Ovis aries: one gene and its partners. The main gene of each other region encodes a partner of the protein of the gene in region 6 in a complex. Links are inferred from orthologs where the notes say so. Each region holds a gene or a part of one and is shown on either strand. Other genes may lie near its edges.

What was found.
Region 1: TMEM231 (region 6) and TCTN1 share a complex: the UniProt entries of both Homo sapiens proteins name them as parts of the tectonic-like complex. The link is inferred for Ovis aries from reciprocal best matches to the Homo sapiens genes TMEM231 and TCTN1.
Region 2: TMEM231 (region 6) and CEP290 share a complex: the UniProt entries of both Homo sapiens proteins name them as parts of the tectonic-like complex. The link is inferred for Ovis aries from reciprocal best matches to the Homo sapiens genes TMEM231 and CEP290.
Region 3: TMEM231 (region 6) and TMEM17 share a complex: the UniProt entries of both Homo sapiens proteins name them as parts of the tectonic-like complex. The link is inferred for Ovis aries from reciprocal best matches to the Homo sapiens genes TMEM231 and TMEM17.
Region 4: TMEM231 (region 6) and B9D2 share a complex: the UniProt entries of both Homo sapiens proteins name them as parts of the tectonic-like complex. The link is inferred for Ovis aries from reciprocal best matches to the Homo sapiens genes TMEM231 and B9D2.
Region 5: TMEM231 (region 6) and TMEM107 share a complex: the UniProt entries of both Homo sapiens proteins name them as parts of the tectonic-like complex. The link is inferred for Ovis aries from reciprocal best matches to the Homo sapiens genes TMEM231 and TMEM107.

Annotation. Positions count from the first base shown.
Region 1 is NC_056070.1:54,510,250-54,513,749, forward strand, and holds part of TCTN1 (tectonic-1), read left to right. Parts: intron 1-641; coding exon 642-762; intron 763-3,500. UniProt on the Homo sapiens protein: Component of the tectonic-like complex, a complex localized at the transition zone of primary cilia and acting as a barrier that prevents diffusion of transmembrane proteins between the cilia and plasma membranes.
Region 2 is NC_056056.1:124,433,901-124,438,024, forward strand, and holds the start of CEP290 (centrosomal protein of 290 kDa), read right to left. Parts: upstream 2,801-4,124; 5' UTR 2,713-2,800; intron 2,603-2,712; exon of another isoform or gene 2,428-2,602; intron 1,912-2,427; 5' UTR 1,884-1,911; coding exon 1,782-1,883; intron 1,638-1,781; coding exon 1,560-1,637; intron 1-1,559. UniProt on the Homo sapiens protein: Involved in early and late steps in cilia formation. Its association with CCP110 is required for inhibition of primary cilia formation by CCP110.
Region 3 is NC_056056.1:45,732,028-45,736,050, reverse strand, and holds the start of TMEM17 (transmembrane protein 17), read right to left. Parts: upstream 2,801-4,023; 5' UTR 2,774-2,800; coding exon 2,674-2,773; intron 1-2,673. UniProt on the Homo sapiens protein: Transmembrane component of the tectonic-like complex, a complex localized at the transition zone of primary cilia and acting as a barrier that prevents diffusion of transmembrane proteins between the cilia and plasma membranes.
Region 4 is NC_056067.1:50,063,066-50,065,727, reverse strand, and holds the end of B9D2 (B9 domain-containing protein 2), read left to right. Parts: intron 1-1,562; coding exon 1,563-1,876; 3' UTR 1,877-2,162; downstream 2,163-2,662. UniProt on the Homo sapiens protein: Component of the tectonic-like complex, a complex localized at the transition zone of primary cilia and acting as a barrier that prevents diffusion of transmembrane proteins between the cilia and plasma membranes.
Region 5 is NC_056064.1:27,637,300-27,641,263, reverse strand, and holds the start of TMEM107 (transmembrane protein 107), read left to right. Parts: upstream 1-1,164; 5' UTR 1,165-1,321; coding exon 1,322-1,408; intron 1,409-1,566; coding exon 1,567-1,634; intron 1,635-1,735; coding exon 1,736-1,836; intron 1,837-2,570; coding exon 2,571-2,667; intron 2,668-2,901; coding exon 2,902-2,971; 3' UTR 2,972-3,964. UniProt on the Homo sapiens protein: Plays a role in cilia formation and embryonic patterning. Requires for normal Sonic hedgehog (Shh) signaling in the neural tube and acts in combination with GLI2 and GLI3 to pattern ventral and intermediate neuronal cell types.
Region 6 is NC_056067.1:2,346,256-2,350,427, forward strand, and holds the start of TMEM231 (transmembrane protein 231), read right to left. Parts: upstream 2,801-4,172; 5' UTR 2,715-2,800; coding exon 2,576-2,714; intron 2,469-2,575; coding exon 2,299-2,468; intron 1-2,298. UniProt on the Homo sapiens protein: Transmembrane component of the tectonic-like complex, a complex localized at the transition zone of primary cilia and acting as a barrier that prevents diffusion of transmembrane proteins between the cilia and plasma membranes.

The DNA of each region.
Region 1 (3,500 bases), on a different chromosome or scaffold from region 6:
ATTAAAACTTGCTAAGTAGGGCTTCTACCTCTTCCCATGTTTTTACTGTCTGAATTACCAAAGATATTTCTAGAACCCCAAGTACAAGGAACCTGAGCCAGCGTTATCCTTGGCCAATAGCCTGTGAACATGGACTCAGCTTCAAAGCTGCAGGTGACATCTGAGGAGAGGAACAAAATTGAGAATTTTGATTCTTGGTAGCCTTAAGTGGGCCCTTCCTCTGAATTGGAATCTCCAGAGGAGCTTAGAAATCTGCAATATTAAACCGATGGTTCTTATGGTCAGGCAAGTGATTTACTGTGTTGATTCTTAAACCTATTTTAATTATCAGCATCACCTGGAAAGTGTTTGAAAGGACCAGGTGTGTGGGTTTCACAGTTAGCTTACCAAATCAGAGTTTTTGTAGGGAGAGTGCAAACAGAACTTTCCAAGTGAGTCAGATGATTGGCCACTTTGGGAAAATCTCAGATGGAGGAGTGCTCAAACTGACTCATTTCACTTCACAGATTTCCCCCAAAGTGCAATAGGAAGAATAAAATGGACCTTTGTATGAGATGGACTTTTGGTACTTTGCAGTGGCAGGGGGCAGTCACTACCTGCAGATTGTGACGCTCTGCGCCCCACCTCTCTTGTTTCTGTAGTTGCTGCTCTGTGTGTCTGTGACTTGTCTCCAGCACAGTGTGACATCAACTGCTGTTGTGATCCTGATTGCAGCTCCGTGGATTTCAGTGTCTTTTCTGCCTGCTCAATTCCAGTTGTCACGTAAGTTTGTAACATGAAGTTTTGATAAATTGGACCAAGATTATAAAATTTGGGGACAGACAGTGAAAACTCCTCCAGGCTGAAAAAACCCAAATCACCCCAGGCTGATTTCCTGAATTCTGCATCTTTCAGAAGCCATGCTGTTGAAATCAGTGTATTGAAGAGTTATTGTTTAGTCGCTAAGTCGTGTCCAGCTCTTTACTGACTGAGCCACCAGGGAAGCCCTCGTGTCCAGCTCTTTTGTGACCCCATGGACTGTAGCCCGCCAGGCTCCTCTCTATGGGGTTTCCCAGGCAAGAAGACTGGAGTGGGTTGCCATTTCCTTCTCCAGGGAATCTTCTGACACAGGGATCAAACTCCTGCATCTGCAGATGGGTGCTTTACCACTGAGACATCTGGGAAGCCTGTGTAGAACAGTATCTATCCCTTATTTGCATTCAGCCAGATGATAGTGCAGGCAAAAGAGAAGTGAGAGTGTACTTTTCACAAAGGTTATAATGAAATCTCTGTGTTAAGAGATTGAATTACGTTTCACTTTGATTTGTAAACAAATAAGGTGTCACGTTTTTGTATTTGTGAATTAGTCTCAGGTATAGCCTAGGGTGAAAAGTGCAGTTTAATTTTACAGCTTTTGTTGTGGACATAATTTTCTAACGAAAATTAGAAAGGAAAGCTTTGTTTATACCTTTCTAGTAGATGAATCTACGAGGAATTCTCACAGTTCACATCGTGTAGGAGAATAATGGAAAATGACATTCCCAGTCGATTGCAAGATAAACAGTTTCTTCTGAGTTACCTGGTTTTCGTAATTCTGATTTCAAAGCTTTTTGATAAAATAATAGCACTTATAAGAAGTTAATTTATTCAGGATGGGACCAGTTTATTATTCAGAGATAGCCAATTTAAATTCAGTCTTGTACGAAGTTTAGCAGTTGAAATTTGATAGGTTGAATGCTTTTTTGGAAGCACAGTGTGTTTTTCCCATGAGAAACTATTTTATTGACCAATAGGAAATCCAATCTACTTCTGATGTTGTTAAAATGCCTGGAGCATGGGGTGTTGTAGTCAGATTATTTTTCTGGCTCCCTGAACTATACTGTGGTTCAGTCTTTGTTGAAAATCATTCTGTTTTCCTGAATTAGTAAGTTCCAGGAGCTTGAGAGTGAGATATCTGTTCTGATTTGCGGTCATTATTTAGAATGTAGTTCTTAAGAAATAGCCAGTACTGTAATTTTAGATATAGACTATTTAGAATGGTGGTCAGCCAACTTTTTCTGTAAAAGGCCACATAATGAACACTTGAAGCTCTGCAGGCTGTGTGGGCTCTGTTGCAGCTTTTCAACTCTGCCACTGTTGAGCAAAAGCAGGCATGTAATGAATGGGCGTGACTACATTTCAGTAAAACTTATTTACAAGATTAAGTGTAGTTTGTGGCACCATGGGTTAGAAATTAGAACTGAATTCGTAGTGCCCTCAGGAAAGAACTTGAGGTTTTTTTTGAGTTAGTTTTGCTTGTGACCTTCTACTAAATATGAAGTATAGAAATAATGAAAACTAACAGTCCTAATCTCAAAAACGACACAATGATCTCTGTTCGTCTCCAAGGCAAACCATTCAATATCACGGTAATCCAAGTCTATGCCCCAACCAGTAACGCTGAAGAAGCTGAAGTTGAACGGTTCTATGAAAACCTACAAGACCTTTTAGAACTAACACCCAAAAAGATGTCCTTTTCATTATAGGGGACTGGAATGCAAAAGTAGGAAGTCAAGAAACACCGGGAGTAACAGGCAAATTTGGCCTTGGAATGCGGAATGAAGCAGGGCACAGACTAATAGAGTTTTGCCAAGAAAATGCACTGGTCATAGCAAACACCCTCTTCCAACAACATGAGAAGTCTCTACACATGGACATCACCAGATGGTCAACACCAAAATCAGATTGATTATATTCTTTGCAGCCAAAGATGGAGAAGCTCTATACAGTCAACAAAAACAAGACCAGGAGCTGACTGTGGCTCAGATCATGAACTCCTTATTACCAAATTCAGACTCAAATTGAAGAAAGTAGGGAAAACCGCTAGACCATTCAGGTATGACTTAAATCAAATCCCTTATGATTATACAGTGGAAGTGAGAAATAGATTTAAGGGCCTAGATCTGATAGATAGAGTGCCTGACGAACTATGGAATCAGGTTCTTGACATTGTACAGGAGACAGGGTTCAAGACCATCCCCATGGAAAAGAAATGCAAAAAAGCAAAATGGCTGTCTGGGGAGGCCTTACAAATAGCTGTGAAAAGAAGAGAAGCAAAAAGCAAAGGAGAAAGTAAAGATATAAGCATCTGAATGCAGAGTTCCAAAGAATAGCAAGAAGAGATAAGAAAGCCTTCTTCAGCGATCAATGCAAAGAAATAGAGGAAAACAACAGAATGGGAAAGACTAGAGATCTCTTCAAGAAAATTAGAGATACCAAGGGAACATTTCATGCAAAGATGGGCTCGATAAAGGACAGAAATGGTATGGACCTAACAGAAGCAGAAGATATTAAGAAGAGGTGGCAAGAATATACAGAAGAGCTGTACAAAAAAGATCTTCACGACCCAGATAATCATGATGGTGTGATCACTAATCTAGAGCCAGACATCATGGAATGTGAAGTCAAGTGGGCCTTGGAAAGCATTGCTATGAACAAAGCTAGTGGAGGTGATGGAATTCCAGTTGAGCTATTTCAAATCC
Region 2 (4,124 bases), on a different chromosome or scaffold from region 6:
CCTATCCCCAGTTTTTATTTACGGTAACTTTCAGCTCTAGAGGGCTTCCCTTGTGGCTCAGCTGGTAAAGAATCCACCTGCAATGCAGGAGACCTGGGTTCAATCCCTGGGTTGGGAAGATTCCCTGGAGAAGGGAAAGGCGACCCACTCCAGTATTCTGGCCTGGAGAATCCCATGAACTGTATAGTCCACGGGGTTGCAAAGATTCAGACAGGACCGAGTGACTTTCACCTTCACTTTTCACTTTCAGCTCTAGAGGGCTTCCCAGATGGCACTAACCTGCCTGCCAATGTAGGAGGCGTGAAAGATACGAGTCAGGAAGATCCTTTGGAGGAGATCAGGGCAACCCACTCCAGTATTCTTGCCTGGAAAATCCCATGCACAGAGGAGCCTGGCAGGCTACAGTCCATAGGATTACAAAAGGAGCCTGGCAGACTACAGTCCACAGGGTTACAAAGAGTCGGACATGACTAAAGTGACTTAGTACATATGCATACCAGCGCTAGAAGCTCGTTAACACTTTACCACTGCCTCCACTTACCTAAAACTACTCAACAGTCTTTGACCTTTATAAGGTATGAAAGTGAGTGATCATCGATCAGTCGTGTCTGACTCTTTGAGACTCCATGGACTATATAGCCCACGGGATTCTCCAGTATTCTGGAGTGGGTAGCTGTTCCCTTTTCCAGGGGATCTTCCCAACCCAGGGATTGAACCCAGGTCTTCTGCATTACAGGCAGATTCTTTACCTGCTGAGCCACAGCAAAGCTCTTAAAACATATCATTTCAGTTCAGTGGGTCAGTTGTGTCCAACTCTTTGCAACCCCATGAATCACAGCATGCCAGGCCTCCCTGTCCATCACCAACTCCCAGAGTTTACCCAAATTCATATCCATTGAGTCGGTGATGCCATCCAGCCATCTCATCTCCTGTCGTCCCATTCTCCTCCTGCCCCCAATTACTCCCAGCATGTAAAAGGTATTCTCACATCTAAATCTCTTCCTCTCCTAACAAATCCCTGCAGTGGTTGGCTACTCTAACAAATTATAACATAATTAACATAAAACAGGCTTCCCTGATAGCTAAGTTGATAAAGAATCTGCCTGCAATGCAGGAAACCCTGGTTCGACTCCTGGGTTGGGAAGATCCGCTGGAAAAGGGATAGGCTACCCACTCCAGTATTCTTGGGCTTCCCTTGTGGCTCAGCTGGTAAAGAACTGCCTACCATGAGGGAGACCTGGGTTCAATCCCTGGGTTGGGAAGATTCCCTGGAGAAGGGAAAGGCTACTCATTCTAGTATTCTGGCCTGGAGAATTCCATAGACTATATAGTCCATGGGGTCACAAAGAGTCAGACACAACTGAGCAACTTTCACTCACTAATGTAAGACATCCCTATGCTTTTTAAAACACAACTGTTCTGCTTCCCCTACACATTCTTTTAGGAACTTTAGCTGTCATTTAGATTTTACAAAGTGCTTTAGAGATTAACTTATCTAAGCAGAGATTCTTAAGCTTTCTCTAATAGTCAAAGCTACTAGTAAAGTACTGCATACAAACCTTCATTAATGATTGAGTAATTCTAAAAAGGTGTATCATATTTTCTTGACTTTCACTTTTTAGCTCATTTACTTCCACCTAAGTAAAGAGAAAAGCAACAATTTCATATTTTATAATCCTTAAACAAAATATAATAATTCTTTCAGTTGTTACCATTCAGTGATTTCAAGGACAATTTAATCATAGTTGTATATATGTATCTATGCTTTATCAATTAAGTACCTTGGATAAGGAAATTAATAAATTATCTGCCAATTCTTCTTGACGAGGCAGCTCATCTGGGTCAACCTTTCTTATTTCTTTCCAGTTTATATTAGGTGGCATCTTGAATTCTTTCAATGTGCTTTACCTTCTGTAATAAAACAAGTGGGTATTAGCATTTACAAGGTAAGTAGCATTACTGTCTTTACAGTAATTTAAAGTTGTTACAGATCACATTGTTACAACTCTCTACGGAGTTTGCAAAAAGTTATTGCTTCTCAATTGTGTAACAGATACGTCGATTAAATAGCCTGAATGAAAAGTACAGCAGTTGCAAAAAATCATCAGATATTTTATAGGTCAAATAATTACGAAGGCTTCCATGCTTAAACTATAAGTCAGAACTAAGATTCTGAGTCCCGCTCCTCCACGACCCCTTACCACCTCGAACACCTAATGGTGCCAAGTGCGGGGGTGCTTGAAAGGCTGAAGTTGAGCCCCGATTCGGAGAAACAAAAACTAGGATTTAAGAAAAAAAAAAAAAGTGAGGAAATATACGACTGAAACGAGTGCAGTTGGGCCTGGGAAATCAGGGCTGCAGCGAAAGGCAAGCAAACCGATTGCGGACAGGAGGCTAAGGAACGGGGAAACTGAGCTGTTGTCTTACCTGGGCCCCGAAGGTTAAAGAACCTGTGTGGGAAGAGACTCGGTTTGCGCTCACCAGGATCCACCTACCTACACCAAACCTGGCAACCAGCGGCGGCCGCTCAGCTACCGTACCCACTCGGCCCGGCCCAGCCGCCAAACCTGACCGCTCTCCAGCGCCCTTCCTATCGGACACTGGATCCCGCCTACTGGTCCGGAGCGAGTAATAGCGACAGCGGCTGCTAGGCGACACCATTCCCCACCCCGCCGAGGCCGCAACAAGAGCCCGGATGCTAGCGATGCCTACATTTCACGACCGTGGATGATGCTTTACGTTCAGATTCCCGCGCGAGTTCCCTGCACTGTGTGTTATGGACGAAGTGAAGGCGTGAGGTGAGGACTCCAAATCCCAAAATGCAGTTCTGCTGGGAGGCCGGGACTTTTGGACGATGAAGTCTCTGAGAAGTGGAGGTAGGCCGTTCCCGGCGTGCAGTGCGGGAGGCTGCGGCGGTACCGGGGTGCGGGGGGACCGCGGTGCGGGGGGACCGCACGGAGGCGGGAGGCGCTGCGGCCGAGGCGTGTCTGCGCTGGTGACCTGAAAGAGGCCGAACATGACTGTGCCTTCGGTGGCGTCGCTCGCCGGACCGCTCTTCCCGAGGTTTCTCTAAGTCAACCCCGGGTGGAACTGCTCCCAGGTGAGGTCGGGCTATTGGTTAGTGGCGGGGAGGAGGTAACGGGAGCGGTCCCGGGTGAGAGAAGCTCCTGCCTTTGGGGCCGAGGGGCCCGGCCAGAGTCTGAAGAGGTGGGAAGACGCCGCCCTCTCCTTGGGCGTTCGCTGGCGACGCCCTGGGTGGTGCCCTCTGTAAAAAGGCAGAAGTCTTAGCTTCTTCGATTTCATAGTCTGTCTCCGTACAGTGGAGTGGGGGCCGCGAGCTTGGCAGGGGGCGAGTGAGAATTTGGGAAGAGGACACTGCATCCTCCGACCTCGGCCGCCTTACCTGTAGCCCCATTATCTTCGCGGGTTGACGGACTAGAAGATTGAGCGAAGGTTCCAGAGAGGAGAGGTTAGAACTTGCCCAGGCCCCTGCTAGGAGATAGAAAGGGAAGGCTGCTCTGTACTCACCAGCCCTGGTGCTGTCACTTGCTTGGTGACCAAGGGTGGTTTTCCCTGACAACTGCCTTAAACGCTTGCAGCTTTTCTTTGTGCAAGTTTTGCCCATCGGGCTGCTCTCAACTATTCTGGAATGTGATACACCGCTAGGAAAACTTTCTTAAGCTGTAGACTTGAAAGCTAAATATATTTTCAACTGTTTGGACCAGTGCATCCATCTTTTTAAAATTTGAAGCACTTTCTTTCATTTGCTAACTATAATTGATACCGAAGTTTACTTTTGAAAATTTCTTTCCAAACCGTTCAGTAGAAAATAACATAATTTTGTGATCCACTTAGAGACATTCATCGGCTTTGTAGAATAGTGATCATTTTGTCTGGTCCTTGACTGGAAGATGGTATACCAAACACTGTTCATTAACCCTTTTTTGACTATGCCGTATGTCCCCATAAATTATCTTATAAATGAAAGTTTGTACCTGTTGACAAATCTGTTCTTTGTTTCTGTCAGTTTGCTTTTTTTAGAGTCCACATATAAAGGAGATCACAGTTGTTTTTCTTTCTCTCTCTGACGTTTCACTTAGCATAATGCCATCATGTTCCATCCA
Region 3 (4,023 bases), on a different chromosome or scaffold from region 6:
TCCAAAATCACTGCTGATGGTGACTGCAGCTATGAAATTAAAAGATGCTTGCTCCTTTGAAGAAAAGCTATGACCAACCTAGATAGCATATTAAAAAGCAGAGACATTGCTTTGCCAACAAAGTTCCATCTAGTCAAAGCTATGGTTTTTCCAATAGTCATGTATGGATGTGACAGCTGGACTATAAGGAAAGCTGAACGCCAAAGAATTGATGCTTTTGAACTGTGGTGTTGGAGAAGACTCTTGAGAGTCCCGTGGACTACAAGGAGATCCAACCTGTCAATCCTAAAGGAAATCAATCCTGAATATTCATTGGAAGGACTGATGCTGAAGCTGAAACTCCAATACTTTGGCCACTTGATGCGAAGAGCTGACTCACTGGAAAAGACCCTGACGCTGGGAAAGATTGAAGGCGTGAGGAGAAGCGGATGACAGAGGATGAGATAGTTGGATGGCATCACCTACTTGATGGACATGAGTTTAAGTAGGCTCCAGGAGTTGGTGATGGACAGGGAAGCCTGCTATACTGTAGCCCATGTGGTCACAAAAAGTTGGACACAAATGAGCAACTGAACTGAACTGAACAGAAGGCTGATTACATAGTACCTTTTGCTTTCATGTAAGAGAGAAAAGTTCTAAATTAAGAATTTGATTTTTAAAACTGACCCCTACAAATGCATCCTAAATATGACTAAATTATAACAATTTAAGAGTAGATAAGTATTTTGAAATCTACTGCTTGAAATGAAAGAATATACAAAGGCTCTGAGATAAATTTCTTAAAAACAGATTATTTTTCTCCATAGCTGAGTATATCTATCATTTAACAATTTTAAAATATAAAATTATTATGGTCTCTCACAGCAAGGGTTTTCCTTTAGTTCCAAGAAAATCCCTGATTATGATGATATACTTTTGCTTGCACCTATTTATTAAATTACCACTGATAAAGGAATGCATTCTTAAAATCTGAAGGTAACTCACTCCCCTAGGATTTTTTCACAACAACAGTAAAACTCTTGGTCAGCTGTGAACATGGTCAGAATATACCCTTGTAATTACAGTACAAACAATCAAATGTACTTCAGATCCACAAAGAAAAGGTGGATAAATAATAAATTGAAATTTTAATACCTTCAGAGCAAGCACTGTAGTAAAATTTTGCAAATAAGCTTTTATGTTAAGAATTCTGTACACAAGCATCTAAAGAGTTATGCTATGTCTATATTTCAGCAGATCAAACTTATAATCATTCAGCTGAAAATCAAGTTAATATGTAAATGAACCTTGAAAGCTCAAGACATGAAGTTATTAAATTTTGCAAAAGTACAAGCTGAGTTCTGTAAATGGAATTCAAATTAAAACACTATGTAATATAAATCAGGAGTAGGCAAACTAGCAGCCAACTTTTTGTACAGCAAGTGAGCTAAAAACGGCTTTTTTAGATTTTTAAATGGTTGGGGGAAATATCAGTAGTATTTTGTGACACTGAAAATCATGCAATTTCAACTTTAGTGTCCATAAATAAAGTTTTATTGGAACTCTGCCATGTCTATTCCATTACCATTATCTATAACTGCCACAGAGACCTATGGCCTGCACGGTATTAAGTATTTACTATCCGGCCCTTTACAGAAACTCCTGATACTTTACATCATCAGATTTTAGTGCTAGAAACCAGAAACGTAATAACCTAATTTTTCACATTATGTTTTTCTCTGTACATCCTAAATCATGACCAGCCCTCAACTGGGAGGACAGGCAAGTGATTAGGGTGAAAAATTGAAACGGTGGGAAATGACTTTTCTCTGCTCCCTTTGAAAAATCCCTGAACCATGCAAGAGGAAAAGATTTCTATTTCCCAGCACAGTTCAGTGATAAAAGCTGCCTGGGTGTGGTTGACAGTATGTTGTCTATCATCATGATTTAAGAGGGTTAAACTGTTTTGCAGAAAACTGCGTTGTCACTTGTCATATCAAATGTGGCATCGTGGTATTGTGTTACTTGATTTAGGTCAAGAGTTATAAATATATAGGGGAGGAGAAGGAGAAAGTGGGGAGAGGGCGAGTTTTGTTAAAGGCGATGCTAGTGAGGCAGCTGCCATTCCGGACTGGAGAACGTTTAAAGTAACTCATTAAAAAAAACCTATGTCTTCTGCCAGAAAATGGACTTGTGGCAAGTACCTGTTCTGCTAGGAAAGAAGAAAAGGAAAAGATATTTTACCGGGACGCGGCGGGGAGGGGGAAGTGGAAGGGGAGATTGCTCTTTTCACTCCATTCAGGGCAGAAAAGCCAGGGCGGAGGCCGCAGAGGAAAAGCAAAGAAATCGGCCTTCTCGGCCTTCTCGGACGAAAGGCACCGGAGGCGGCTTGCGAGGGTGGCTTTAAATTTTTTATATTTTGAGGAATGCCAGCGCCACCTCAGCCGCCCCTTTTGCAACTGGCCGGTTAGGCCGCAGCATGATCAGCCCGGGACCAGCTGGGTATCAGAGTTCGGGTATCTGGTCCCAGTCCCAGCCAGCGGCCCGGCCCCTCCTCCAGGGCGTTTCCCGCACTGCGGAGAACCAGCTGAAGACCAAACCACCATCTTAGGTCCGGGCAAAATCTGGCCGTTCCAAACCCCGCGCCAGGTCCTCCGCACGCCAGACACCCTGCGCTGGGCCTCGGCCACTCACCCGGACCCTCGTTATACTCCGGCCCGGTCCGGTTGGAGTCGCTGAACACGGTCCGGCTGAAATTTCCCAGCCGCTGGCGGACTGGATCCGGCAGCTCCATGCCCGGACCTCGGTACCACTCACTGCTAGGTCTTCGCAGTACTCAGCTGTTCCCACGGCAACCGAGCGGTGGGAGGTGCTGTGGGCTCTGGCGCACGCGCGGATGCACTTCGGAGCCGAGGCGCGGGGACCCCTCGAACTGAGAGGAGAGGGACTCATACCTGTGGGGCGCATCAGATGGGTGCAACTCGCAGATTCCTTAGTCTTAAGTTCCACCCTTTTAACAATAAGCAACAATAATAATAAGCAACCTGGGGTTGGATTTGATATAGGAGCTCTAACGACTTGTCAATGCAACCTTTTTGGAAGGAAATACAGAATGAATGCAGAACTTAGAGAATATTCATGACCCACTAGCTTATCTGTATCTGTATATACACGTACTCTTTTCTAGGAATATCTGTTGTTATGTACTAGGGATATTTTATATATACACATGCCATGCTAAGTCGCTTCAGTCGTGTCCGACTCCGTGCGACCCCAGAGGGCAGCCCACCAGGCTCCCCCATCCCTGGGATTCTCCAAGCAAGAACACTGGAGTGGGTTGCCATTTCCTTCTCCAATGTAGGAAAGTGAAAAGTGAAAGTGAAGTCGCTCAGTCGTGCCCGACCCTCAGCGACCCCATGGACTGCAGCCTTCCAGGCTCCTCCGTCCATGGGATTTTCCAGGCAAGAGTACTGGAGGGGGGTGCCATTGCCTTCTCCGACACATGCCACATATATATATACACACACACATATATACACACACACACACACACACACACACACATATATATATATGCACTTATGCAATATATATATATATATGCACTTATATATTCACACATACTGTCTTCTCAGTTCAGTTCACTCGCTCAGTTGTGTCTGACTCTTTGCCACCCCACGAATCGCAGCACGCCAGGCCTCCCTGTCCATCACCATCTCCCGGAGTTCACTCAAACTTGCGTCCATCAAGTCAGTGATGCCATCCAGCCATCTCATCCTCTGTCGTCCCCTTCTCCTCCTGCCCCCAATCCCTACCAGCATCAAAGTCTTTTCCAATGAGTCAACTCTTCGCATGAGGTGGCCAAAGTACTGGAGTTTCAGCTTTAGCATCATTCCTTCCAAAGAACACCCAGGGCTGATCTCCTTCAGAATGGACTGCTTGGATCTCCTTGCAGTCCAAGGAACTCTCAAGAGTCTTCTCCAACACCACAGTTCAAACGCATCAATTCTTCGGCACTCAGCTTTCTTCACAATCCAACTCTCA
Region 4 (2,662 bases), about 48 Mb from region 6:
CAGAACAGGTGATTGACAAGTCAGATTTTGCTTTTAAAAGATCCCTCTGGGGACTTCCCTGGTGGTCCAGGGGTTGAGGATCCATCTTCCAATGCAGGGGAGATAGGTTCTATCCCTGGTCAGGGAACTAAGATCTCACATGCTGTGGGGCAGCTGGGTCCCCGTGACTACTGAGCCTATGGGCTCTGGAGCCCTAGTGCCACAACAGAAATCCCATGTGCCACAACTGAGACCTGACTCAGCCAAACAAATAAATAAACTTGAAAAAAAAAAAAAAGATTGCAGTTAAAAAAAAGATCCCTCTGGCTGTCTCACAGGTGACGGATTGGAAGGTGAGGCAGGCCACAGTCCTTTCAGCTCTTAAGGATCCCAAATATCCTTGCTGTTTCTTTTCTCATTCTATTAGGAAATCCCATTAGCTCCCCCTTTGGAATGCATCCTGAATGTCATCACTCCCCCGACCCCCATCACCTCTCACTAGGCTGTTACCATAGAGTCTTTACTGAGGTGTCCCTCCTGTGAACACCTAAGTCAGGCCACATTCCTCCTCTGCTTAGGACCCTCTGTGGTCCCCACATCACTCAAGGTAAAAGGCAAAGCCTTACCGTGGAAGGACAGGGCCCTGCTTGATCTGGTTCTGTCTCCCCTTCCCCGTCTGCTCCAGCCACATCAGTCCCACCAGGCAGCTCCCACCTTAGGGCCTTTGCACTAGCTGTCCCCTCTGCTGGGAGCACTCTTTCCTAGATAGCCATATAGCCCCCAGTCTCTTCCCTCCTTTAAGCACTGCCTCCGATGTCACCTCAGTAAATTTTTTCTTGATCACCGCCTTCTAAAACTGCATGCCTACCTACTCCCACCCTACCCAGCTTATTTTTCTCCAGAGCAGTTATCACCATCTGACATACCCTATAATTTGCGTATTTACTGTGTTGGTTGTCTAAGATGTCAGCTGCACAAGGGCAGAAATTTTTGTCTGCCCTGTTCACTGCTGTATCCCCAGCTTCTAGAACAGGGCCAAGCTCAGAGAGACTCAAAAAGGAGGGTGAAATGGGGCTGGATCTCCCAAGCACTTTGCCTATAGGGTGAGGAGCTGAACTGTATCTTGAGTGAGGAACTGAGAAATCTATGGAAAGGGGAGAAAGATGCTTCCAGCTGCCAGGTGAAAGATGATGAAGGCAAGAAAGAAGGCCCCGAGGCCAGGAAAGAGGACAGGGTGTGGCCATGGGGAGGGAAGGAAGGAGGCATCCAGGACCAGGCCCACCACCCTCACCTGGGGACTGGGCTCCCCAGATATGTGGACACAGAGGAGAAGGCCAACAGAGAATTCAACAGAGGCCAGACCTCAAGGGTCTAGAATGTTGAGGTTGGACTTTATACTGAGAGCATTAGGGAATCATGGAAGGGTTTTGAGCCGAGGAAGAACCTGGATTCAGAAAGATCCCTTTGGCTGCTCTGTGGTGGTCCAGAGGAGGAGGGTGGGGCAGAAACCTGGCAGGGGGTCTTCAGGAGTAAGAGGCTGGACTGTACCCCTTCACCTTTCCACCCTCCCCCCTATCCTGCAGGCTGGCCCCGGCTCCATCTCCAGGTGTGGTCCCAGGACAGCTTCGGCCGCTGCCAGCTTGCAGGCTATGGCTTTTGCCATGTGCCCAGCAGTCCAGGCACCCACCAGCTGGACTGCCCCACGTGGCGGCCCCTGGGCAGCTGGCGAGAGCAGCTGGCGAGGGCCTTCGTGGGCGGCGGGCCTCAGCTGCTGCATGGAGATGCCATCTACAGTGGGGCTGACCGCTATCGCCTGCACACCACCTCCGGGGGCACTGTGCACCTTGAGCTGAGCCTGCTGCTGCGCCACTTTGATCGGTATGGGGTTGAATGCTGAAGGAGCCTATAAGAATGGCTGGCCCCCAGCCATGTCTTGGGACACCCCATAAGGGGCAGGATGGTGCAGTGGTCAGAAGCATGGGCTTTGGAGACTGTGAGGCCAGACCCAGCCAAGGCTGGTGCAGCTTCTAACCTGACTAGCACCTCAAGCCCAGTGGCTACCCCTCCCAGGTCCAGTTTTCCCATCTGTAAAATGGGCTAGTAGGTGTGTGGGCTCACAGGGGTTGGGTGCAGAGAAGCTGCTGGCACGTGGAAGGGCTCAATAAAGATGTAGTGCTTTTCAAGTGTGGGTGCTTTTTTGACCTTCATCTGTCAGACGTGGGCCGGGGGTGGGGGGATTCCTCCTACTGTTACCCTCCTCAAGCCCCCTTCCCTTGCCCTCTGCCTCAGCGTCTGACCCCCTTCTCCACTCTGGGTGATGCTCTTAAGGGCCCCCACTCGTTGGAGGTTCCCCCCGCCCCGTGCCCCTTTCCCCAGTGGCTCCTTAGTTTCTGGCTGACCCTCTTCCCCTCTGCCCCGGTTTCCCACTCTCCACTCAGGGCAGTCCACCTCGAAGTCCCTGTATCCTGGGTCCCCATTCTCTGAGCCTTCCGCACTACGTAGGTCTTTATGCTCTCGCTGACCCCCGGCCCAGTCCTCAAACCCACAAGCATCACTGCCGCCCGCTTCGGTAGCGCTCGACCGCCAGGAGGCAGCACCCTGTTGGTGGGGCGGAGCCGGGTGTCCGCCCCCTCCCCCCGGGCTTAAGGGACCCCCCTTGGAGCCCGCCCACGCAAGATGCGGA
Region 5 (3,964 bases), on a different chromosome or scaffold from region 6:
TGGTCCTTAAAAAAGAAAAAAAAAAAAAAAGAAGAAGAAGAAATGTAACCCTGACTTGTATAAAGTTCTTTGTTCTTACAAGATGCAAAACTGCACTGAAAAAGATGCTTCGCTGGGGCAGTTTCTCAGAGTAATCGGGGAAAGGAGCTTCCAGGCTACTCCTTAGTTTGGCTCAAATAAAACTCTTTTCTATTCTTATTATGGATTATCCATTATTATTCTTGGGAGATGATCTGGTAAGAGGGTGGGGGGGGGAGCCTGGAAGTTGTGACTTGACTGTTAGCCGTGAACTCCGGCGAGAACTTTCCGTTCTACAGGAATCACCTTTAAGGTCCGAAGGTCCGTGAGGTCCCAATCGTGAGAAATGCTTGGACTATAGCTGGGCAAAGAGACTCTGCTGGTCACACCTCCAAGAGATAAGGAAATCGTAGACTCTGAATTTCCGCCTTCGACTCTTGCCTCCCAGGGACGCGGGGTTTCATTCTCTTCCTCCACTCCCTTTTCTGGTCCCGTACGTCCACTTCCTTCCCGCAACACGCCTCTCATCCACACCCTAGTTCAGGAGAGGGGCTCTTTTCTGTACTCTGCAAATCCCTCACCAATCTGAGCGAGCTGGGTGGGTGGTTGGGTGGGGAATCAGAATCAAGGAAAGTTCAGGTATACGGTCCGCCAACAACCAGGGGCTCCAGGACAATAAAGGGGCATCCACCTCTCCAAGTTCGGCCTAGGTCAAGGAGAAGCTACACGGATGCGGGGGATGGAAGAAAAGACAGTGTCCAGGGCTCGGGCATGTTGACGCCCTAAGGCTGGAGTGGTGGTGACTGTGGTGTCTGGAGGATCATCTTGGGCAAAGTAGCAGGGGCTGGGGGCCAGGCCGCTCCCGGCATGGGGATACAGGGAGGAGCGAGTGTCCGAATTTCCGTTCGCCAGTGCTGTGTGGGCAGACTCGGCAATGGGGGGCCGCGCCACAACACACTCTCAGGCTGTGCAGACAACTCATCTGCACGCGGGAAGGCCGGCAGCTCGATTCTCCGCATCCGGTCGGGATCTGCACAGGTATTGTGGACCCGGAACAAAGTTTCCCAGAGGCCCGGAGGCGGCGCGATAATTTGCCGCTCTCGCGAGACTTTCAGAGGTCCCGTCGGAGCCATCGTTTTTGCGGTTACTAAGGCAACTGAGCGGTGCCAGCGTAAGCGGGAAAGCGGCGTACGTCGAATTTTTGTCTGCTAGCTTGGGAGACTTGAGGAGTGACCCTCCTTGAGCTTCCAGCCCCAGAGACAAACGGCCTCTGCTCCAGGCGGTACCTCTTCCCCTGGGAACCATGGGCCGGATCTCAGGGCTCGTGCCCTCTCGCTTTCTGACGCTCCTGGCGCATCTGGTGGTCGTCATCACCTTATTCTGGTCCAGGGTAAGACCCAGGGCCCTCTTCTCGTTCCTCCTTCCAATTTGGGGTGGTCCCAGCCCCACTCCACCCTTTCTCTCCCGGGGCCTTACACGGTGGGGTCTTCCCATATCCAGCCGCCAGACCCTCTTTCAACTTCTGTTTCTTTCTGCCCTGCTCCCTAGGACAGCAACATCCAGGCCTGCCTGCCTCTCAGATTCACCCCTGAAGAGTATGAGAAGCAGGACATTCAGTGAGCATGTGGGACAGGGTGGGCAGAATTAGGCAGTAGAGGGAGTGAAGGGGTCTTAGAAAAAGTTCAGAAGGCCTAAGCCACTTCCTTCTTTTCTGCAGGCTGGTGGCAGCGCTCTCTGTCACCCTAGCTCTCTTTGCAGTGGAGCTGGCTGGTTTCTTCTTAGGAGTTTCCATGTTCAACAGCACCCAGAGCCTCATCTGTATCCTTTCTACGTGTACTCCTTTCCTCCTCGCCCTTGTCCACCATAACGCCCTTCAGCCACTTAACTAGGCCTTTCTGGCACAATGGCGTTTGCTCTAGCAGGCAAACAGAATCCCTCCTGTGGAGAGATGTTAGGCAATGTGGAAGATTTAATACAATCTCTGATCACTTTTTGAGCTCCTGCTACTCACCAGGCACTGGAGATCTCAAGATGAGAGTACAACAGTTTTCTATCTTGAGGAAGAGGCAGATACACAGACATCTGCAATTCAGTGTGATAAGCACGGGTGCCATCAGATGTTAAGATACAAAGCACTATGGGAATGCCGAAGAGACAAAGGAAGTGAGGAAGATGGATCAGGGAAGGCTCTCAACACCAGGGTACTGGAGAGTGATCCCAGCAGTGTATTGTGTCACTGTGAGCATGTCTGTGTGCTTGGAGTAGATCAGGAGTCTACTACTTCACCTGAAGGATCCAAACTAGATATGGGATGGAGGTAGCTTGGTTTCCCAACAGGGCAGGCTCAGCTCTGGCCTCTACACATGGCCATCCTAAAACCCAAAAATCTGGGCTGCTGGCTCTGGCCTTTGCAGTGTGGTAAAGGGAGCAAGAGATGCCTTGCTCACCAGGAGCTGATTGTGAATGCAGATGCCAGGCCCATCACCGGCCTTTTCTGGCTCATCACTACCTGTTGACCCAAAGGCTTTCCTTGACTCTGGTGTATTCCCAAGCCATCGGGGCTCACTGTAGTGCATCTGTGGCCCTATCCTTCTTCATATTTGAGCGTTGGGAGTGCACCATGTATTGGTACATTTTTGTCTTTTGCAGGTATGGTAGCACCTAATGTTTGAGGATGGGGAAGGGAGGTTTACTTTAAATCTGAAGATTCCCCTACCCAGCCCTTTGTTCCATGTGTAACATACCAGATCCACTCAACATTCCCGAGTCTTTTTGAAGTCCTCCACTCCTACACTTCAGGGGGTCGGGGGGTGGGATCGCTGGCTTGGGGATCTGGGTATTTTTATTAGAAGAAACTCTGAACCCATCACCTGCCTTCCTCAGTGCCCTCCCGGCTGTCACCGAAATAACATTATTCATCAGCGTCTTTGGCCTGAAAAAGAAACCTTTCTGATATCTTCGTGACTGGAAGTAGGGATGAAGGCTGAAGGAGCGAAGGACTACTCACCCTTCCTGGAAGAGGGAGGCTTCAGCCCTCCTTCTAACACTGCGTTTGGTGAACGATGTCAGTGTTAGGGTAATTATCTCTCAAGTCTGGGATTATCTGTGTTTTGTTTACAGTCCTTTGTAATAAAATATATTTTAGGGTAAGATCAAACTTACAGGAATTCCTGCAGGAATTCCCTGGCTGTCCAGTGGTTAGGACCCCACGCCTCCACTGCAGCGGGTTCAGTCCCTGGTGGAGCAACCAAGATCCTGAATGCTAGGCAGCGTGGCCAAAAAAAAGAAAAAGAAAAAAATCAAGACAAAAATTTCAGGAGAAAATTGGGGTGGCCAAACTACTATAGAAACGGAAGGCTGTTTTCCAGCCTTGCACTGTAAGACCCTAAATGTCGCTTCTATTCTAGTTATTACGGTAGATTTCTGACGGAAGGGAGTGGGCGGAGATATGTAAATAAGGTTATACTTTAGTACCTCGAGCTCTTAAAGTGAGTGAAGCATTCTGGGAGGGATTAGCGTTTGCTTTTTGACAGCCAAATGGAAAAATTTATTTTAAAACATCTGCAAATAAATTGAACAACAGAAGTGGAAGAACCTGGATAGCTTTAGATGGCTCGAACTAACATGTCGTTTACTCACCCTACCTGTTAGCGGAGTCTTATTACCGGAGTACGGAATATTGCAGTCCTCTCGGTATCGTCAGGTAGGATAATCCTTACCTGTTCCTCCTTTTGGAGGGCAGAATAGAACATGATGATTGGAGCTCGCATGATTCGTGATTAACGGCTCTGCGTAATCAGGACTTGCAACACCCTGATTGCTCCTATCTGATTCTTCCTGGCGATCCGTGATGTTAATGTACTTTACGATTAGATTGAGTTTTTAGTACTGTCTCCTTAGTTGTACTTGAAGTAGCGTCGGGCACGACTGAGCGACTTCGCTTTCA
Region 6 (4,172 bases):
TGAAATCCTATTCATAACTCTGATTATTTTTCCCTTCTACTTTTCTAGAGTTGACAATTATTTTATTTGCTTGCTTAGTTTTCTATGTATTTTTGCAATGTCAACAAACAGCTTCTATTCCAGTTCCTCACAATTTGATGTTTAAAGGTGTATGATTTAGTAAAAATCTTGTTCACTGCAATATTCTAATAGTGAAAAAGTAAAAACAAAAAATCCACCAACAGGAAACTGGTAAATCAATTACAGGTTTCCATATCATGAAATATTTGGCTGTTTAGTCACCAAGTTGTGTCTGGTTCTTCTGTAACCACATGTAGTATATAGCCCACGAGGCTTCTCTGGCCATGGGATTTCCCAGGAAAGAACACTGGACTGGGTTGCTATTTCCTTCTCCAGGGGATCTTCCTGACTCCCAGAGATCAAACCCATGTCTCCTGCATTGGCAGGCGGACTCTTTACCACTGATCCATCAGGGAAGTCCCTAGCAGATCTTAAAATGAAGGTTAATTATAACAAGTCTAGATACATGTACCAAACTGAGCCTTTAATTTCATATGGTTTTTCCAGTAGTCATGTATGGATGTGAGAGTTGGACTGTGAAGAAGGCTGAGTGCCGAAGAATTGATGCTTTTGAACTGTAGTTTTGGAGAAGACTCTTGAGGGTCCCTTGGACTGCAAGGAGATCCAACCAGTCCATCCTGAGGGAGATCAGCCCTGGGATTTCTTTGGAGGGAATGATGCTGAAGCTGAAACTCCAGTACTTTGGCCACCTCATGTGAAGAGTTGACTCATTGGAAAAGACTTTGATACTGGGAGGGATTGGGGGCAGGAGAAGAAGGGGACGACCGAGGATGAGATGGCTGGATGGCATCACAGACTCAATGGACGTGAGTCTGAGTGAACTCTGGGAGTTGGTGATGGACAGGGAGGCCTGGCGTGCTGCGATGCATGGGGTCGCAAAGAGTTGGACATGACTGAGTGACTGAACTGAACTGAACTGAACTGATATGTACCTGTAACTCTATTTTCAATGAGCAGGCATTTTTATAATTATAAACAAATTAAAGTAATCATAAAAAGTAATCATAACCATATTTTGTTGGTGGTTATTCATTTATGGCCAATTACATTAAAAATTTTTTTTCCATTTTATTCAGTTACTGGGATAAAAGTCTGAAATTATTTTTTTTCAGCTACACAAATTGGAATGTAGGCCAATCATCTCAGATATCTAAAGAGATTCAACTTTGGAAGAAGGAAATCCAGAGTTTTCCTACTTCCAAAGGAAAATGCTTTCAGAAAGTGAGTTTAAAGGGGTGACTGTAAAGGAAGCACTCACTTAACTTGAACCAGATACTACAGGACAGGCAGTAAAATGCTTCATTTCAGCCCCAGGAAGCAGCAGCAGGACTGAGCGGCACCTGAAGAGGTGAGCCCAGGGAGGCGGGCCTGGCCAGCAGGACATTCTGGAGGTCAGCTAACCAATCAGCCCGTTGGCTTCGCCGTGACAGTCCGCCTAAAACTGCCTGCCCTTTCTTTGCGGGCAGTGGGCGCACGGACAACGGAGCGGCACAACGGGGTGATTGACCGGAACAGAGGATGAGATGGTTGGATGGCGTCACTGACTCAATGCACAGGAGTTTGAGCAAACTCGGGGAGATGGTGAAGGACAGGGAAGCCTTGCGTGCTGCAGTTTACGGGCTCGCAGAGTGGGGCTTCCCTCAGAGCTCAGTTGGTAAAGAATCTGCCTGCAATGCCAGAGACCTGGGTTTGATTCCTGGGTCGGGAAGATCCCTTGAAGGAGGGCATGACAACCGCCTCCAGTATTCTTGCTGGGAGAATCTCACGGACAGAGAAGCCTGGTTGGCCACAGTCCATGGGGTCGCAAGGGTCAGACACGACTTAGCGACTAAACCACCACCACCACCATAGAGTCGGACACGACTTAGGGAATGAACAACAACGCAACTCACACAGCAAACTCTGCGACCACCATTCCCTCAGGAAGGGCCAGGCCGAAATGTCAGGAATTGTCAGGGGTTGGAGACTCTGCAGAGAGCAGAGACACTGACAGTAGCAGCCAGCTTACCCGGGGTGGGGGACGGCTTGGAGAAGCCGAATGTACCAACAAACAGGCCTCCAGGAAAGGAAACAAGCTCGGGTCTGGGGTTCGTGACTCCTTCAGCCGCACACCGAGTTCCCCGGGACAGGGGCCGGAGCCTCCCGTCAGGCCGCGCCCTCCGCCCATCCCCTCCGCAGCCCAGTCTGCGCAGCCGGGCCCAGGCGGGAAGCACTCACCGAGACAAGCGGGACGCGCAGATGACCCTCCTGCAGCCGGTTGAAGGCGGGGAACGTGCTCCAGGCGAGGAACCCGCCCGGCTCGGATCCTAGCAAGGCCACGAGCAGCACCTGGTGCTGGAAGCGCACGGTTGGCTGCTCCTCGTAACTGCTCCGTTTTAGCCAAAACCCTGAGGTAACGAGAGTGCGGGGTGCAGAGACCCGGGTCAGGGAGGCGGCGCGGGAGCCACGTAGCGCTGCGGGGCGCGCACCGGCCGGGGCGAGGGGGCAGACTCACCGTGGCTCCGGAAGGCCACCAGCAGCGGCGGGATGTACGTGAGCGCGGCGGCCAACAGCAGGAAGAGCGCCGCCTTGGAGCAGAGCCCGGCACGGTAGCCCCGCTCCACTGGATGCGCGTAGAGCTCATAGAGCGCCATGAGGAGCACTCGGGGTCTTGTTCCCTCGGCAGTTCCGGAGCCTCGACCTAGTATGGCTTCTCCTGGTTGCCATAGCCGTGGTCTCCACGGCAACCGACGGCCCAGGGAGAGCGACCAATAGCGAGCAGGCGGGCTTTCCGTGGGGGCGTGGCCAACGGGGCGGGGCCCGCAAGTACACTGTGGTCGCACACTGCTTGCGCGTTCCCAAAGGGTGTTTCCGTGCGCCCAAACCGTGGCCGTTGTTAACAATTTTGTAAAATAAGGTTTTTTCATAAATGTTGACTATTTATTAATAGTCAAATCTATTAATCCCCAATGTGGTTTATTGTACACTTAAGTCTAACCAATCACAGCACACCGTACGTTGGAGGCAAACAAAAAAAAGTGGCCGTGGTCCTAGACACTTGGTCCTGGGTTAAGACCAAACCAGGTCCCTTTGTTTCCAAATTTTCTATCGCTTTCACTATACTCCATAGCAGGGCAGACACGGAAACAGACCTATCTCCCTGCTGTTCGAGGGGAAAAAAAAAGATAATTATTGTATAGCTCTGCTATACTTTGCTATCTTGATTGGGAACAAGCTTTATGCTACTTATTTTAGGAGAAGCCGTGGTCCTCCTCAAAGATAAAGTTACACAGGGAAGCCTGGCGTGCTGCAGTCCATGGGGTCGCAAAGAGTCGGACACAACTGAGCGACTGAACTGAACACTTAATTGAATGCTTCCACCGTCCCATCCCATCTGCTTTCTAGTATTTCAAACATGGCAGAAGAAATTTTTTTTTTTTAAGTAGTCAATAGCCAAGTTCTCCATCAAAAGGCCCTAAAGGATCACATTGCAGTGCCGAGTTAGTGTGAAGTTTGTGCTCAGAATGAGATCCACTCATAAATACTCCTATTTTGAAGGCAACCTAGAAGTGGGGTTTTCTCCTAGATTTATTGAGGTATAATTGACATATAGCACTGTATAAGTTTAAGGTGTACAACATAATGATTTGAGTTACATGCATCATGAAATGATTACCACAATAAATTTGTTGAACATCTCTCATCTCATATAGATTACAAATTAAGGAAATAGAAAAAAATTTTCCCCTGTGATGACAACTCTTAGCATTTACTCTTTCATCTACAAAATAAAGTAGTGTTAATTATATTTATCATGTTGTACATTACCTCCCTAGTACTCATTTATCTTATAACTGGAAGTTTGTATCTTCTGACTGACTTCATCCAACTTTCCCCTCCCTCCACCTTGCCTCGGGTAATCACAAACCTGATCTCTTTTTAATGAGTTCGTTTTTGAAGTATAATTGACCACAACATTAGGTTAGTTCCTGTTATACAATATAGTGATTCAGTATTTCTATACATTTCAAAATGATTACCATGATAAGTTTAGTTATTATAACCTAGAATTGGGTTTTCGATGAAGAGAACAGCTGAGATCCTAGCAAAGA